2 linked regions of the Caenorhabditis elegans genome follow. The protein of the gene in region 2 purifies or fractionates together with the protein of the main gene of each other region. This does not show direct contact. Each region holds a gene or a part of one and is shown on either strand. Other genes may lie near its edges.

Region 1 (9,360 bases), on a different chromosome or scaffold from region 2:
TACTTATTCTTAATGAATTGATAACTATGAAATTTACAAAACACGGTACTGGGAGCATTTTAATTCACATTTTAGCCAACAGCTAAAATGTAAATTTCAAATAAAATTTTATAAATTATCCCACCCATTTTTGGTGTGCCCTGATAATGGGTGTACAAAATTCCTAACATCTGTATTTTTTTCAGGCGTCGGATTAAAATCAGGGTGCTTCATAGCATGTTTCACATAGCAACTTTTGAATATGTATTATAATTATAGTTGATATCTAGAACTAGATTTAGAAAAAACTTACATTGGATGTTCTTTTACAGTTTCATCGACTGCTTTATTGAAGACATGTTTAATCGAATCAATAAGTTTTTCATCTTCTTTTCTAATTGGTTCTTTATCATCTTCCATTTCATCTTTTTCCATAATCATATCACTTCCATCATCTCCATCTACTCCTTTACTCTCTTCTACCATAGGCTTCATAAGTTTTGTAGTTTTTGTAGTTGTGATTGTAACATCTTCAGTATTATCTGTCTCATACCCTTCATCATATTCATCTTCTTTTTCAGCAACTTGTGGATATTCTTCATCTCCACCTTCATATTCAAATTGTTCATTCATTGATTGTGTCCTTTTATCATTTAATTCCTTTTCTACTTCTTTTTCTGTTTCTTGTCTCCGTCTCTCTTCATCTCTTACTCTTGCTTCATCGGTTTCTCGTTGTGCAGCCAATCGGCGGCTTTCTTCCTGCAAAGGGATTCAGAATTAAAATAATACGGTACTTCATTCAAACCTCTCTACGTCTCTCTTCAATTTGTGATCTTTCAGCCTCGTGTTGTCTGCGTCTCTCATCATCACGTACTCTTTGTTCCTGAATTCTTCGTTCGGCTTCAGCTCGTTGTTGCTCACGGCGAGCTGTCTCCTAGAAATATTTTGTTGAGAGGAAAATTTTTAAATGAGGGGGCGGAGGGTAAGATATTTTAAAATATTCACGTCTACAGTGAGTAGATATTCTTTTCAGAATTTCCGATAATTTCGAATTTTTTTTGGCAAATTTGGCAAATTTGGCAAGACTGACAGTTTATACGTTTCGGCCATTTTTCTCAATATTGGCAATATTGGCAAATATGACAAATATGTCAGTTTTGCTAATTTCGGCAACTTCAGAAATTTTGCCAAAACCCAGTTTTTGGAAACTTTGGAATTTTTTCCATTTTTGGTAAGTGTTGGCAAGGCCGACAGTTTTATAAGTTTTGGTCAATTTAAAAATTTTGGCATTTTTATCAATATTGGTAATATTGGGAAATATGACAAATTTGTCAGTTTTGCAATTATGTCAATTTTGGAATTTTGGCAGTTTTGTATATTCTGTAAATTATCGTCATTTTAGAAATATTGTCAAGTTGGCAATTTTATATTGTGCCAATTTTGGCAGCTTTAGAAATTTTTTAATTACCTTTTTTAACTTTGGCATTTTTTGCAATTTTGGTAATTTTAGGAAACTCGGTAAGTTTTGGAATTATTGGAAACTTTGGCATGTAGCAAAGGTTAATTCTGAGCCGAAATTCCAAAACTACCTATAAAAACATTACGCCGATAATATAATGCTTTTTTTTGTCACACTTTGTTACTTGAAAATTTAATTTTTGTGCAGATTGGTTCTTGAAAATCTAATGTTTTGCTTTATTCACACCCCACTGCACCATGATTCACCTTATATGGCTCATGGGCAATAAATGTTTCAATGTTTTTGACAATAATATTCTTACAACATTTGGCGGCAACAGGCAAATCCAAAATCCGGAACTAGTTTTCAATCAAATATCAATTGGAACACTTCCCCTCAAATTGTCCCCTTTGATCTATCATTCATATACCGCCCAAATCTTTTGCTCAATCAGAAAATGCACCTCCCGTTGGTGGTGTGGAATGTGTTCAAAACAAGTGTCTGCTTGCTCGATGTGATAGAGAGCTCATTGAGATGCTCACTATCTCTCTTTCAATTTAAAACAACTGTTCTTTTCTGCTGATGGGGGGAGGGCTTACCTCTTTCCAATACTGTTCGTGTTGTTGTCGGCGTCTCTCTTCATCTGATGCTCTCTCTCGATCCTCTTTTTCTTTGCGTGTCCTCTCGGCGACTTGTCTCTCGTACTCACGTTTTCTCTCATCGTCACGTCGTCGAGCATCATCAATATCAGCTTGAGATTCTGGAATTTAAAGAATTTATTGCTGATCTAAAACAAAATGTGTTGTGGTTGACAACTTTTGACATCTCGACAGCTGTCGTGTCAGGACCAATTACATTCTCAAACAAAATAATACAAAAAAATGGAACAACAGAATAGCACATTTAAATGTTTTTGTTCAGCTTTCAGGAAAAAAACCCTAGTAACAGTTCCTTTGCGATGCGCGCATAATACTTCACTGGTCGATTTTGGCAATATCGAAAACTTTGGTAACTTTGGAAATTCTGGCAATTTTGGCTTTTTTGACAATTTTGTCAATATTGGCAATTACGTCATTCGCCGTAAATGTAAAAATACTTTTTTTTTAAACAAAAACCCTCCGAAATATAAATCCAACAAAATATATGTAGACCAACTTAAACTGAAAAAAAAGTTGCCGAAAAGTTTTGGGTTCGGCAACTTCGGCAAACATTTTTTATTTTAAAATTTCAGAAATTGAAAAACACCGTTTTAGCGCTTGTTAGCGCTTAGTTCTACTGAAATTGTGGCGAGACCCACTCAGAAAACAGTGTGTGCCTTTAAAGTGAAGTTTCAAATGGGGACAAAATCATGATAATTTGAATTTTAAAGAAACATACGCTGATGTTGGATATTCATTGGGTGTGATGTTTCATCGGATGTTGCAGTTGTTTCAATATCTTCGGGAGCAACTGAAATTTCAAAATTAAATATTTTTCCTAAACTCTAAATTTTGAGTTACTTCTAATCTGACATCTGTCCCCAGTGTAGACCCCCAAAAGACAGATGCATGAATGAAAATCGGGTCGCTCCAAATCGAAAACACACATTCCACCATTTTCGCACCTATAATTAGAAATTATAAGAAGAAGATATAATTGGTGGTTGTCAATAGTGGGTAATTTTACCTGATTTTACAGTTTGATTGAGGTGATACAAGACTTTGACCACAATTGATTAGGCCGACATTGAATGCGAACATCAAAAGTAGTAACAATATCCGTGAATGCATTTTCTGAATTAATATTGAATCGTTTATTATATTTTTATCACATTTTAAGGCATAGAAGTGTTTTGGAAACAAGGAAATCAACTTTTTTAAATTTAAAACTTATATTGAAGTGCAAACCATTGGGGTACGGAAAATACAGAGAAGAAGATGAATTGTCAAATATCATAGCAATACTTTTTTATTTAAAAAAATTGAAATTGGTTCCATCTATATCCAAAAATTGCAAGTTCTCAACAATTTTGGAAGTCAACCAAATAATTAAAGATTTTTTTAAATTGTTTTTGTTTCTAATTATGTTTAAAGCATTTGTACTCATACAAATATAGGTCTAACACTTTTTCAAAAAAAAAAACCAACAATTCCCCAACAAAAAATTAAAGTCTAACAATTTTGGACATTCCTGCAGGTTCGAAGTTCTATGATTCTTGAATTTAAATACAAAATTCGTAGGACTTTTTTGGTCAAAATTACAAATTCCAAATTATGATAGGTGAAAACTATTCCAATTTTTTGACATGAAATTCTAAAAAATTCTAATAAACTACCATGGCTTTTGTAAATTTCGGCATCATTGAAAGAATATGAAGTTTTATTTTTTAGATTATTTGAAATAAGAAAAAATTATTTTTTCAAAATTACTGTATCATTCGAGAAATTGAAACTCACCAAAAAGGTGAAAATTTAACTTGAATATTGATTTTTGATTAAATTCAGTTTAAAGAATTTTTTTAAAAAATAGGAATTCGAAATTTACGGTACTATTACGGTACTTGGTCTCGAAGCGAAACGAATAATTTGAAGTGGAAAAAAAATTCAAGGAAACTTTCAAAAAAAACTACTGTACTTCTTAAAGGCGCACACTCGTTTTCATTTCAATTTATTTATATTTTCTTCGGTCGTCGCGAGACCGGAGACCCTAATTTTGCAATGAAAATCGTGCAACTTCGCACATAGGATACAAGTACTATTTCGTATTTTTGATTTTTCAGGTACTCTAACTAATTCTAGATGCTGTTTATAAAAGTATATCCAAAAAAAAGTTCATAGCAAAAATGTTTTTTTTTTCAGGATTTCTAGCTACAAAACCAAATTTTTAAAAGTAGTAGAACAAATCTTAAGAAGTTATCAAGTAGTACAAACTAATTAGAAAAACATTGCTCTTGGAGCAAGAAGGCACTAGTGATGAATCAGTTGCGACATGTTGTGAATCTTCGACTTCTTCCTGTGTCCCGCCACTAAAACACGCAAAATGAGCCATCGACGGGACCCTGCGTCTCCGTGATTCATTGAATCTTTCATCATTTGGAACTCAAAATGACGACGGGACGACAAGTGGCTCCTGGACGGGAAGAAACGAAAAGAAATAAGAAGATGAGACGTATGTGTGTGTGTGTCCACTACTCTTTTTTTCTCGGCATCCCCTCGTTTTATACCCAGGTTTTCGTAATACTCAACTCGGAATTTGAAACTGAGACGTTGGCACGGCTCACCTACAACCTTTGTTGAGCTCATAAAACCTGCTACGAACAGGTGTCGACCTAGAGCTACTAGATGACCCGTGTAGAGGGATGGCTCTTATTTATATGAAACAAGAACTTTCTGAATTCAAAAATTATTTTAATCTTTTTTAGAGGCTGTACTGTCAATGGTTTTTTTATAAAAACTATTTAGCAGACCCAAAATTGGTCTGCTAACCAGTTTGAGAATTTTAAAGTAAAAACGCTATTAACAGTACTCCATCATAAAAACTTATTGGAATCGTAAAATGAACAGTTATACAACATGCTGGTTGATGCAACAAATGGAACAAATACTCATCAAATTCTCAGGCTTTGTTTGCGAATGTGAAGGCAAGCCGGAGATAGGAAAAGCTTAAGTAAGAACAGGTGGAGACGGACTACAGTAATCTAGATTAGGACGGATATATGTGTGGTTTTGGAGAAAGGCAAACAATCAAGGCTGATGAAAGAGTGGACACGGGTGTAAACGCGGCAGGAGGTGCGAGATGTGGCGAGATGATGATGGAAGCGTAGAGTTTACGAAATCTTCCTGGGTGACTGTGAAATTTATGCGACTCTTTTAAATTGCCAATTGATGAAGGAAGGATGGCTAGTGAGGTTTGAGGAAGGTGGGTCTTTGATACTGCACCTAGATATTATCGTGGTTAAGGGGGTGCTCGCAGGTCGCGGAGGAGGACACGTTTTAAAGTGAACAGCTCTATTGGCACGCGGCCAACCTGGGGTCAACTCAATAAGCAATAAGGTGTAGTGTACAAAGGGTGGAAAAGCTGCACAGGCCATGTAGTTCCAAAAACTAGGAACTGTGATTACAAAGTCTGACAACTGAATCTGATTTAACACTCCATGGACAGATGTCACCTCCGCGGTTTGCAAGCAATTCATTTTCGTTTGGTGAGCAGATATCACAATCAACACGACACATAAAACACCCACATTACACAACACCAGCGGAGGTGCACTTGTTCATTGCCCGATGTTTTTCGAATGATGTATAAAAAGCGGGATGATTAAACTGGAACTGCTTTTATTATGAAATTGTATATAAATGCAATTATTCCTTGGTAGAAATCTTGTATCCGAGAATAGCCTCCTCTCCGCAGGCAGCAACGACTTGAACCTGAAAATCAAAATTTTCAGATTCAAAAGGTGGATGTCGAAATAATTACCAAGACGCTTCCTTCGTCTTTCTCGAGAGCCTCACGGATAGTGTTTCCCAAGTCTCCTTCTGGCATTTTGAGATCGTCTTTGAGCTCGCAAGATTCTGGATCCATGAGCGAGCAGAACCCGTCTTCGATCGACATGAGCTGAAAATTTGATCAATAACATTTTTTACAGCTGATTAACTCATTTTTCAAAAGATTTGTTTAACCGTCCAAAGTTGATTTTTTTGAAAGCCTTCTTAAAAACTAATTAACAACTTACAATGTACTCGCGTCTCTTGACGACTGGGACGTCCATGTTGTGGGTGGATGGGCAGATATCCTCAAGCTTCTTGGTGGTGAAAATATCGATGGCAACCATGTGAACCTTAGCATGTCCGTGCTTTCCAGTCTTGGAGGTGCTCATCTCGACGATCTAAAAAATTTCTAATTAGGAAAATTCACTGAATTATTTTTTACCTTGCATGGTCTTCCTCGGATCATGACGTGCTCGTTCTTGCGAAGAGCCGAGCATTGCTTCGGGAAAGTAGCAGCAGCTCCGGACTCGGCAGAGTCGAATTGCTCCTCGTCGTGATGATCTTCGGACATACTGCAACAAAGATTTATCAATTATTTTAGCATTTTCAACTAGTTTCCAACGAGAAATTCAAAAAATAAATTTGGAAAAAAAGGTTTGCAGGAAAAAATTGTTTTGATTGAGAAATTTGATGCATTTCTAATAAAATATTGATCTTAGCAAGAAAAACACTGTACAAACCTGAGAAAAGTATAGAAATCGAGAGAAAATCAAATGCGCGAATTTTTTTGAAAGGACGTTGTTTGGCTGCGTATCACAATGAAGAATGAGTCGCTACGCAGCCAAAAATTTGGCGCCAACTTCCATCTTCAGACAGAATCGAAGTCCTCACTTTTTTAGGATTTCAAGGAATCTGCTCTATTTTTTGATTTATCTGAATAAATAATTTCCTAAAAATGCATTCGTTGCTTACTTGCCAAATTTCGCTTTCATCATGTAAAATTAAATAATAAAAATTACCTCTCTATGGTCTTCGGGGCAGCAACTCTCGCCATCCACCCTCCGAAGCCAAGATTACGATTTTTCTTTGAAACTCTGTTTAGTTTTGTTGGAAGCCTCATAAAGTAGAACAAATCAAGTTTATGATTATTTTGAGTAGTTATTTTTATATTTTCCGGCCTGTATTTATTCTCTTTTCTGCACAGTTTTGCGTTAAATTTTATCATATGAATGCAATGTTTCACAACAATCCTTCTCAGCGCGTACTCTCCTTTTCGGAATAAATTGTCATCAAAGGTGCATGCCTTTTCACTAAGCAATGGTCTCGCACCGACTGTCCCCCCTTTTCGGCGGCAGTGGAAATGATTCAAAATTACACGCTTACGCCTTTTCTATCGTTGTATTACAATTGTTCTGACAAAATTCATTTCCAATTTTAGTTATGGATCCTATTCGCGAAGGAGAAGTGGCCCACGAGGGAGATTCGGTTTACACACTCAACGATTTCACGAAGCTCGAAAAAATCGGCGAAGGAACATACGGAGTCGTCTACAAAGGCAAAAACAGAAGAACCAATGCCATGGTTGCTATGAAGAAAATCAGATTGGAAAGTGAAGATGAGGTATTTGAATTTTGTAGCAGTTTCGTTTTTTCAAACAATAATTCTTATAGGGTGTTCCATCAACGGCTGTGCGAGAGATCAGCTTGCTCAAAGAGCTCCAGCATCCGAATGTTGTTGGATTGGAAGCGGTCATTATGCAGGAGAACCGGCTTTTCCTGATCTTCGAATTCCTGTCTTTCGACTTGAAACGATACATGGATCAGTTGGGAAAAGATGAATACCTTCCGCTCGAAACTCTTAAAAGTTACACATTCCAAGTGAGGAAATATTTAAAATCGATGTCTTTACAAGAATAATTGTTCCAGATTCTTCAAGCTATGTGTTTTTGTCATCAGCGTCGTGTTATTCATCGCGATCTTAAGCCACAGAACTTGCTGGTCGACAACAATGGAGCAATCAAGCTTGCCGATTTCGGACTTGCCAGAGCTATTGGTATCCCGATTCGCGTTTACACGCATGAAGTGAGTTTGCATTCATTCTGTACACCAATACAATGATTGTCCGGTTTTCAGGTTGTCACTCTCTGGTATAGAGCTCCAGAAATTCTGATGGGTGCTCAGAGATACTCGATGGGCGTAGACATGTGGTCGATTGGATGCATTTTTGCTGAAATGGCCACGAAGAAGCCACTGTTTCAAGGAGATTCAGAAATTGATGAGCTGTTCCGCATCTTCAGAGTTCTCGGCACACCGACTGAGTTGGAATGGAATGGTGTTGAATCACTTCCGGACTACAAGGCGACGTTCCCAAAATGGCGTGAGAATTTCCTCCGTGACAAGTTCTACGACAAGAAGACTGGAAAGCACCTTTTGGACGATACTGCATTCTCTCTTCTTGAAGTAAGATTTCTAAAATAGTACTTTAACAAGTAAAATAATATTTTCAGGGTTTGCTGATCTACGATCCATCACTTCGTCTCAACGCGAAAAAAGCTCTCGTTCATCCTTATTTTGACAACATGGATACGTCAAAGCTGCCAGCTGGAAATTACCGAGGAGAACTCGAACTCTTTTGATGTAATTCATTCATCATCATTTTTATTATTTATTCTCCCGTGCTTTAACCACCTATCGTCTTCCGTGTATTGTTTAACTATCACCATTTCAACTTTTTACCTGTACGATGATTATTTGGCCCTTCGATATTCATGAGTAATCTCTTTTTTCACACCGCGATAAATAAATTCGCTCTACTTTCATGCTCTTTTTTATTCAAGCACTTTGTTCAACGTGTAAATGAGAATAGGGAATTAAGAATTCATTATTATTATTTTTCCATTCTGAAGAATGATCGCTGCAGTGATTCCAATATTCGTAATTTCTCTGTCTAACATTTCGCACGTAAGCTAAGGTAACGAAAACTAATCTAACTGGAGCTATTAAGATTATTCTTGCAATTTTCTTCTTCCCATCGATTGTAGAATTCCTCGATGATCTTTACTGGGGATTCACTTATCGTTCGTGGTCTCCAATTGCACGTCAATTAGAATTGGGACCGGTAGGATATATCCCTATATATAGGATTAAATACAATTTAGAGAATAAATCAAAATAATTGTGTTTAGAACATTTACATTCATCACTCGAAGGTTTCTATTTTGATGGACAAAGCTGATCTTTATGAGAAGAATCAGTCTAGGAAAGATATTTTAAACTATTACCGGGAAGGTATTGTTTAATATTTATTCATTCTCTCGAATATCTGAAATTTCAGAAGACAAGGATTTTGAGCAGTATTTGAATTTTAGAGAAAATCGAAAAATGTTGCAACAAGCTTTTGAAAGCGGAACTTTGATTCGAAAACAAAAGTAAGATATTACATTTCTCTAACTTTCCA
Region 2 (9,130 bases):
CTTTCTGCACGTAATTATTTTACTTTTTTCGGGAAAATTGAATGAATTGATTGGAAAACGAGATATTTATAAAGAGATATTACAACACGAAAGATCAAAAAATCGAACGTTTGAGTTTTAGATGAAGCGGAAATAAACTAGAACATGTACAGGAAAATTGACAGAAATTGGAAGCTTAAAATCTTAAATGTATATTCTCATTTTCAATAATCTCCCTAATTTGAAATTTCATACAGAAATTATTTCAGAATAAAATTTAAGAGAAAGTGCAAATTTCTTGTTTCTTTTTCATCTTTTTCGCCTCGCTCCATCCCGCCCATCCATTTCAATTACTCTTGGGAATTAGAATCAAATAAAAAAAGAGCAGAACCTAGAAAAGACAAACACGTACTTTTACACATTTTCCATGAAAAAAGGCATGAAAATTTGCAACGTCATAACTTTGTCTAAAAGAAAAATGCGAAAAAATCAAAAGTGAAAACCCATGGGAATGGAACATGTGGGCGTATAAAAGACATAATTGTAGGATTGGAAATCTAGATTTGCTGAAAATGTATTTCAAAAAATTTATGAAATTGTAGATTTATAACTAAGCAGTTATGCTTAGAATTAAAAAAAAGAAATATATATATTGGTTTCTAGAATTTAAGAAAATTAGGACTCTACTAAAATAATGACTGAACTAAAATAATTCCAAAAAAGCTTTTGAATTGAAAAATAAATTAAAATTTTATTCCGATAGGTATATACTTCGAACCACAATTTTTTGAGATTTTTGTTGAAACATTATTAGATTATTAATTCTAAAAAAATGTAAGCATTCAGATTTTGCTTTTAATTTGCTCCAAGAATAAGGGCGGAGTTTTAGGAGTGACTCCGCCCACTCATATGTTTCCGATATATGGCTTTTTGTTGCTCTTTTTGCACGTTTCTTTCCGGGAATAGTGATCGTCTATGGCGTATGAGAGAATAAGAAAATATGGGGAAAGTGAGAAAGTTTAAAAGGGAAATCTAACATGTGCCAGGTGCAAATGTATAAATCTCAGGCATTGCCAAAAATGTTCAAACTATTTATAATCAAAATTCATTAGCTATCAAATTTTTCAAAACGATAAAGTCAGATTTGCTGCGTCTATATTTTTTTAAGCTGAAATCTAAACAATAGAGTATTGGAAAATAAATAACCTAGAATACTAAAAAGGGAGTGCGAGAGGGACATAATGATGGGCAGCAAAGTGTCTGAAAATATAGAAAAATATGAATTCCCACGAGGAATCGGATGGACTCTTCCTCTTCTTCTTCTTTTTCAGTTTTCAGTGTTTACTCTTCAAAAAATATTATATATGATCCAAAACAAGAATGGATATTCTTTGTGGCCAATTGATGAAAATATTATAATTTGCACACCAACAGATATTTATGTTTAAACATATGTTTTAAAATCACTGAAATCCCAAAATATTCTAAATTTGATGCAGCAACTCGTCTATAGATTTATGTATATCGCTGAAACTTTGAGATTTCGACCATTTAAGCAAATTCAAGGATGGTTGGGATTCCAGAGAATTTTTCAGTGGAGACGTGTATTTTGTATCAAACTTTTTCAAAGTTTAAATAAAGGTATAGCAGATTAAACTTGTTTTTGCTGATTTTCAAATATTAAACTGATTGAAATACCTATTCAGCTAAAAAAAAAGTTCCACAAATTTTTTCAAATTTAATCAATTATTTCCATTTATCTCATATTTCATATTGAGATCATTTGGAGAAATTGAAACTAGTGGCAGACCTCTTAATTGCCAGATTGATTTTTTATAAGTATAAAAATTCAGTTTGAATAATTTTAAATCTAAAAGATCCGCTTGAATTTTCAATTTAAAATTCGGGAAATGACTCTGTCTCGTGGCCCACTTGTGTATGTCACTTCTCTCCCCACACACATTCTTCACAATTATCGTTCGGTTCACTAAATATTCACAAAAACATAGACAAACCAAATAAAATAAAGTGTTTGCCTTTTCCAATGTTTTTTTCGAAAAAAAAAGCTAACAACATTCTGCCAAAATAAATGTTTTTTAAAACGTTCCATTGTTGTAGCCAATAACTTTGAAGAGTTTTCAATCGTGTGTTCGAAATGAATAAAGCAGACTAGGTTCACCTTTTTCCACTTACCGTAATCTTGGAGATCAAAAAGTGAGAAGACATTCTGGTCGTGACAAGACCCACTGATTGTGAGAAATAAACCTCTAAAGAAACATTTCACGATGAATATTTCCATAAAACATGAACAAAAAATTCCAAGCTATACCAAATGAAATAGCATTTGGAACTCAAAATAATTGCGATGCTCGATGGGATTTCCTTTTCAACAAAATTAGCTTTTGGCAGCATGCAAAGTGGATCATTGCATTGTTTTTGGGTTTTTTTGAAGGGTGTCCAAGATTTCTAATGAGCCGACGGAGCCTTCTTTTTAGTTTATGAGTTCTATTTTCATAGAACATTTGAAACATCTAATTGTGTAAATTAAAATTCTAAACAGGAAAAAACACATTTTCAAGGCAAATTTTTTACCATCTAACTTGACGAAAAAATATATCATTCAGAAGTCAGAGAACAAGTTCAATTCCCCTGTGAAGCTTCACCTGTTCGAACAGTCATCCAGCGTCAGGCTTCCCGCAGCGGCTTTACTAGTATCAAATTCAAGAAGACATGCGCAAGTTTATACTGAAACAGCTAAAAATAAAACGAAATTTCCATGCAGGTCAGTGTTTATTTATATATAAAAACACGAATACGTCGTTAAATATATTTGTAAAAAGGACCAAATTGAATATTGGCGAAAATTAAAAAGAGTGGCGAGTGGGGGACCATTTTACAAATATTTCAGATTGATTTAGAGGTGGCTCCCGTTGTCGTCTTATCAAATTGGATTTGAATTGAATTAAAACACGTTAAGAACGAGAAAAAGTGAATGGAGAGCTGATGATGGAAGAGGATAAAAATAATAACATTTTACATATCTTGAACAAGTTTCGTGTGTAAGGAGAACGAAAAGGAAAACGAGAATTTGGAAAAAAGAATGGGAAGGGAGCTAGAGATCCATATATGTGAAATGTGGATTTGAACAGTATTAGCGAACTCCAACAGCATTTCCAGAACGAACATTTCCTCCGGTTTTTTGTGTAGCTGCCAATGGTCTGCGGAAAAGAAGCACGTGACGCTCGGGTCCGTGAATCATGTAGTGCATCCATCCTGGGGACTGAAACAAAAACTTGAAGCTATGAAACGATGAGATAACTTATTCTGATGTCAGTTGAAATTATGTTCGCTTTTTCTTTTTTTCTTAAGGAAAAAACCTATTTTAAATATTTACCTGTTGAATTCCAAGACTTCTCCACTCTGTTTCGGACATCAATCGATTTTTTGGGATAAGCTTGGAAACATCCTTGGTGACATGAACGTGACGGTACTCGAACTCATCATCTTCGTATTTGTTTGAATAGTAGAAATCATTGTTTCCAGTTGTCATTTTGTTGGTTGGCGTGAGAAGGTGCGACTCTGAAATAATTCATTTTATTAACAAGCATCGGGAAATAGAAACGGACAAAAATAAGGAAAGAATAAAAAATATTGAAAAAAAAGAGAAGAATGGGAATGAGACAAGAGTGAGAATGGTGAGGAACACTGCATGTACAGACAAATCGATAAATGCTCATTGCTGACGCTGTCTGAATTGATCGATAACATCAACAGAGTCGAGTTTCCCGCGTGTTTCAAAATACTCGTCCTTTGACATTGGAATTTGACAGTGCTTGGTTGACCCAGCAGAGGAAGATGATCTGAAATAAAAAAGGTAATAACATGAAAGCTAATAAAATTTTCAAAACTCACTGAACATTCAAAAACGTCTTCTTTTTGTCACTTTGTAAGTTGCTGTCGACTGTCACTGAATTAGAAAAATTAGATAATCAGAAAACGAAAATAATCTCTTCGAAACTCACACATAAAGCTATGTTTAGGTGAAGAATAATCCTTAGAGGAGGTTGGGGATGACATTAGGAACTGCAAAATTGTAATGTAAAATCCACTGAAGATGATCGAAGATGAAATCACAACGAGATATAAAAAATTGAAGGTGAGAAGGAATGATATTCAAAATTTTGCCAGGTCCTTAGCGTCGACAGACGCAGATACACGATCAAATCGACAAACAAATCCTTCGTCAGTTACTAGTACTAGGAATCGGCCACATGTAGAGAAAGAAGCTTGCCGAACTGTACGTGAGCCAACGGAACAAGTGTGAGTCCTGTAAAAAAAAAAACAGGAATTTATACTGGTAATCACAGCAAAAATATTTCTATAATTTTTAAGAGATATCGAACATCTCAGAAATTATTTTTCTTGATATTTTACTTACGGATTGGTTTCTTCATTATTTCTCAAATCGAAAAACATCACAGAACCACCAGCTCCACCGCACACCAGCCATCGTCTTCTTGGATCAACGGCGAATTTGATAAACCATGCAGAACCACTCGGAACATTCATTGTACGAAATTTCGTTGTACACGACTTTGGACGGAGAACATTTCCATGAATGCGATTTTCAACTTCTCCCTTAGGTGGCCCAAATCTCCAAAAATGAATTGCCTTTTCATTGCCACATCCTTTTGATAGTGCGTAGTTAGTACCGATAAGAAATCGAATGCAATCCACATAATCAGAATGCATATCAGTTGATACGGAGGATGGAGTATAAATTGGAAGAAGGCAGCTCCTGAAAAAGAAGAAAACGATAGAACCAGATTCGTTGAAACAACTTTAAAAAAGTAATGGATGCCGAAAATCAACGTACGGTCGGGGTATGAGCTCTCTGTGAAGTTCGAGCAATTGATCTTCTTCTTTGTCGGGAATGTTGCGAGAAACTGCAGACTTTCTAAAAATACAAAAATGAATTACATTATGATTTGATAGCCCTGGTCTCTTTATTTACCAGTCTTTTATCCAAAACTCAAGTTTCAAAAATATTTTTATATACAACAACAGCAACAATTTTCGCGTTAAGGACTGATCAAATACTAGAAGGAACTAGAAAATGTTAGCTGAATAATTGATTTACCTCATTGTTCCTTTCGAAACATACGGAATATCTTGTGATTGTGTTAGCACATTTATTTTATCTTGGTGAAGAGCTTTGCACGCTCGTTCCAAATGTTCCTTTACTTGTTTCACAGATAAATCCCACTCCATGAGTTGATGATCGAATCCACACGATAAAATGAAGTCTCCGTCGGTTGACCAATCCTAAAATGAGAAATTCGAAACGTAAGTAAATTTAATAAACCAACCACAGAAAGAATTGTTCCAGCATGACACTCGAGACCCCCAATAACAATCAGACATGCTTCGTTTCGAATATGATGAATCCGGATAGATTGATCTGATGAAGCACAGACAATCAGATTTGAGTTGGCAGGACACGTACGAATGTCATTGATTTCCCATCCAACACTCCGAAGACGCTAAAACTCCAAATTATTTCAGTAATTTTTGATTATTTACATTCGACAGCTTCCTCGAGACGTAGTCGATAACGTAAATGTGACCCAAAGTTCCACCCGTTACAACTTTAAAGGGATTTCGGTCGTTTTCAGCTTCATATGTGTCGTAACACCAGGTAACAGTGAAGAGCGACTCCTCTCGTTCGACCTTTGATGATTTATCGGTAGGAAAATTACAAGACCACTGCAGCTCAATGTTATTTATGTCGATGGGAACAGAATACATGTGAAGCTGAAAAACAAATATTTATACCTCATTGTCAGTTTCCTGCTAAATAACGCTTACAAAGCTTCCTCCGACAGTTGCAACCGCTTGTTCCTCATCTATTCCTGCGTATTGATTGAATGCACATCCGTAAATAGCTTTCTTCTGATCTTCAAGTAGCTTGGCAGTTAGTACAAAAGGTCGTTTTCCGTAATCCTCTGTACTTCGATCAAACCCGTGAAGATTTAATGATTTGAACTTTTTCGTGTGCTCCATTCAGGTTTTTGGGAAAAAGGCAAGAAACAATATATAACAAAATAAAAACTTCACAGTAAAAACATAAAAAAGTCGATTAACTATCAAATTTGCAGTGAAAAAGGAAAAAAATGACAATAAAAACAACAGAAAAACTAAAATATGGCCGCTCGCGCGCATTTCTCGTTCAAATTGCATTAGTGGTGAAAAGCGCGGCGAGACCCAACGAGCGCATAACCTCATGCACCTTTAAAGTGTTATTTTTTTATTACAATTTTTTGTTCTCATTTTGGATTCTGTTCGAAAGTTCCGGGAGGTATTTGTGATTTCGATTGGGAATATGATAGAAAAGACAGTTGCCAGCTTAAATTTTGTATTGTCGTGAAGTACCACTTCCAATTTCGGAGTGGATTCGAACGGGATTAAGTAGATTTTGTACTCGGCTTTTTTCGCAAGGAGCGAAACTAATAATTTTGTATATTTTTTTTGTATGATCCTATATTGCTACGTGAGCTATTGTCAGTTAAAAAAAATGTTTTTGTGGTCTTTTTCAGATTTCAGAGCGATCAACTTGGGGGTATTCATTCATATTTATTATTTAGTAAAATTGTCCTTATATCAAAAGATCCACTTTGTGAATTCCGTAGACTTCTTTCATTTTTGCTATTTCGAATTTGTCTTCGTCGGCTGCTGACTCATCCATATCCCTGCGTCTCCAATGCCTGATTCTCTGCGTCTTGTGTGATTTTTTGTTGCTTCAACCTGTTCTTCTAGCGGTTGCCTTTTTCTCATGCTGTGACTGTTCCCGTTCATTACTAATTCTTAATTTCATAATATTTTAGTGTTATCGTTTTTTCTTCAATTTTTTAGCCAAAATGTTATCTCGAACGAGCTATAGTTATTTTCAGATCGCCTGTATGAAATATGACATGAACCATCGCAAAAATTCTGATGATACTCCACCGGCGTCTAGGACCGTCAAAGAAATGATGGCAGAGTTTCAAAATAAACTGGACGACGGAGACAACAGATTCCGGAAGCAACCACCACCGCCACCTTGTGAGTCTGAAACAGAGAAGACGTCTTGTATTTACTGTCGACAATTGATTGAGGCGTAGCAAAAAACTTCGTTTGCTTTGTTATCTGTGGAGAAAATAAAAGTTACGAAATTTCTTGAAAAAAAAAACTAAAAAATAATTTTTTTAAAAACTATTTATGTCTGTATTTATTGATAATAACTAAATAGATCATATGATCATAGTATTGAAAAAGAGAGAACCGAAAATCGGGTTGACAATGATTCTGTGAGTTAAAAAAAACAGTCAATTTTTCGAAAAAAAAATCTGCCTTAAACTCCACCAACAGTGAATCGAATTAATTTTTAAAGGAAATTAAGTTCTCATTTCAATTTATATATTCGTTGTTAGAATCTAGACGAAAATTCATAAATATTTTGTTACTATCATTTTTTTTTCTATTAACTTTTACAATATCGTAGAACAACTGATTTCCGTGTTAAAATTGTTTTTTGACTGTTCTTCTTCCTATTGCTTTTTGTTAACGAAAAATGCCCAATTTTCTTCAAAGTTCCTATCAAATCTGTACAGACGCGTGACCGATTGCGAAAGTAGTCAAAAAGAAGTATAAAGGCTTTTCGCAATATTGTTTGCCTAAAGGTGCCACTTGACAGATTTTACTCCTTTGTCGCCAAGAAGTGTACTAGTAATAAATTTTAGAAAATTGGGTTGTGTCCTTATATTAATTACTTGGATTATCGCCAACATTTGATTAAAATAGTCATTCTTGTGTGAACACTTGCCAAAAATATATTCACTATTTAACTTCTGTTGGTATTATTGTTCCACCCCCCGGAAGTGACCAATTTTCCGTCTGCCACTGTGTGTGCCTAGTGGTATGACTCATTTATTGAAAGAAAAACAATTATTTTATCATCTCTCAAAATGAGTGAAGCAGATACAATTACAGCAATTAGATAGTTTAAATATACCTATGAGGTTAACAGATTGGAAGATTCATTTTTAAAACAATTTTGCAGCCCCAAGACGAGCTCCACCACCGCCTCCTCATCGGAAACCTGCATCATTATCTCCACCTCCAGACGATGAGAATACAATTCGACCGCCGTCTTCTTCAGAATCGTCCGAAAATATTCCTGAAGAACCGCAGGAATTGATTACGCCAAATACAACGAGACGAAGTCTTGGACCAAAGCCAACTGTTGCTCCAAAACCATTATTTCTGAATGGATTGGTGAGATTTTAAATTAAATAATATTTTTATGAAAAATAAAAAAGGTCTTCCCATACTGGAAAAAGTTAACCAAATCGTCTGTCACATTATTATGAAAAAAGTGATGAGCTCTCAATTGGGCAGATGTGCAAATAGAGCTTGTGCCCCCGATCGTGTCCCCATTTTCAAAAAGTTTTATTGCTAAGTATTCTTTTCAAGCACTTTTTTGTAAAAAAGAACCGACTGTCACCCCCCGAACTCTCATCTACTCATAGTTTACCACATTTTTTTGTGGTCAAACTGACTTCAAAAACTTGTTCCTGGACTAGTTATTACTCTTATTCTCTAACTTCTCTACCCACAATTTTACGCCGATTCAAATATTGATTTTGATCGTTATTTCATCCCATCTTTGCCATCTTCCATATATTTTTGGAATTGAACATAAAATTGGTGGAAATTCAGCTACGGAGACGGACACAAAACACTTTTCTGAAGGCATAATCCGGCAATAAGTGCTTGCCTTTTTGTTCCCGGCCGTCTCCTACTCGACCTCCAACACCATTTTCATATTACACAAAGTCAAAAAGTTTGTTCTGCAACCTTTTTCAACGAAGATTTCACTTTCCGACTTGAATATATCAGTTTTTATTGATGAATTTCGAGGTAGGAGTAACTTTTTTTGTTGGTTTTACCCTCTCGAAAAGTATCTGAATTTGAAAAAAAAATTACTCTCGAAATGGTGTCCTGTGTGGAAATTGAACGGACTTGAAGTTCAAAAATAGTTACAGTCAAACTGATTTAATTTATATGATTCCGATAGGTGCAGTGGTTTTTCTGCTTTAATTGGCTCGTAATC

What was found.
Region 1: the proteins of cks-1 (region 2) and cdk-1 purify together in Caenorhabditis elegans (affinity purification with western blotting, with the first as the bait; one study listed by BioGRID). This does not show direct contact.

Annotation. Positions count from the first base shown.
Region 1 is NC_003281.10:9,740,130-9,749,489, forward strand, and holds cdk-1 (Cyclin-dependent kinase 1), read left to right. Parts: upstream 1-7,342; 5' UTR 7,343-7,344; coding exon 7,345-7,524; intron 7,525-7,574; coding exon 7,575-7,781; intron 7,782-7,829; coding exon 7,830-7,985; intron 7,986-8,036; coding exon 8,037-8,363; intron 8,364-8,410; coding exon 8,411-8,539; 3' UTR 8,540-8,723; downstream 8,724-9,360. Other genes in the region: T05G5.1 (Prothymosin alpha-like), read right to left, coding at 293-738, 785-913, 2,038-2,198, 2,816-2,887, 2,938-3,041, 3,104-3,207; iff-1 (Eukaryotic translation initiation factor 5A-1), read right to left, coding at 5,779-5,844, 5,894-6,031, 6,150-6,302, 6,347-6,476, 6,924-7,024; T05G5.4 (uncharacterized protein), read left to right, coding at 8,811-8,864, 8,908-9,021, 9,089-9,191, 9,238-9,331. UniProt on the Caenorhabditis elegans protein: Plays a key role in the control of the eukaryotic cell cycle. Required for entry into S-phase and mitosis. Acts as a component of the kinase complex that phosphorylates the repetitive C-terminus of RNA polymerase II.
Region 2 is NC_003282.8:8,508,349-8,517,478, reverse strand, and holds cks-1 (Cyclin-dependent kinases regulatory subunit), read right to left. Parts: upstream 3,561-9,130; 5' UTR 3,530-3,560; coding exon 3,374-3,529; intron 3,260-3,373; coding exon 3,131-3,259; 3' UTR 2,754-3,130; downstream 1-2,753. Other genes in the region: C09G4.4 (uncharacterized protein), read right to left, coding at 3,713-3,839, 3,892-3,946, 4,002-4,056; Polycomb protein mes-6, read right to left, coding at 4,153-4,306, 4,418-4,777, 4,856-4,936, 5,120-5,304, 5,349-5,522, 5,563-5,793, 5,848-6,042; FYVE, RhoGEF and PH domain-containing protein tag-77, read left to right, coding at 6,939-7,080, 8,078-8,292. UniProt on the Caenorhabditis elegans protein: Binds to the catalytic subunit of the cyclin dependent kinases and is essential for their biological function. Has a role in the exit from M phase during early mitotic cell division.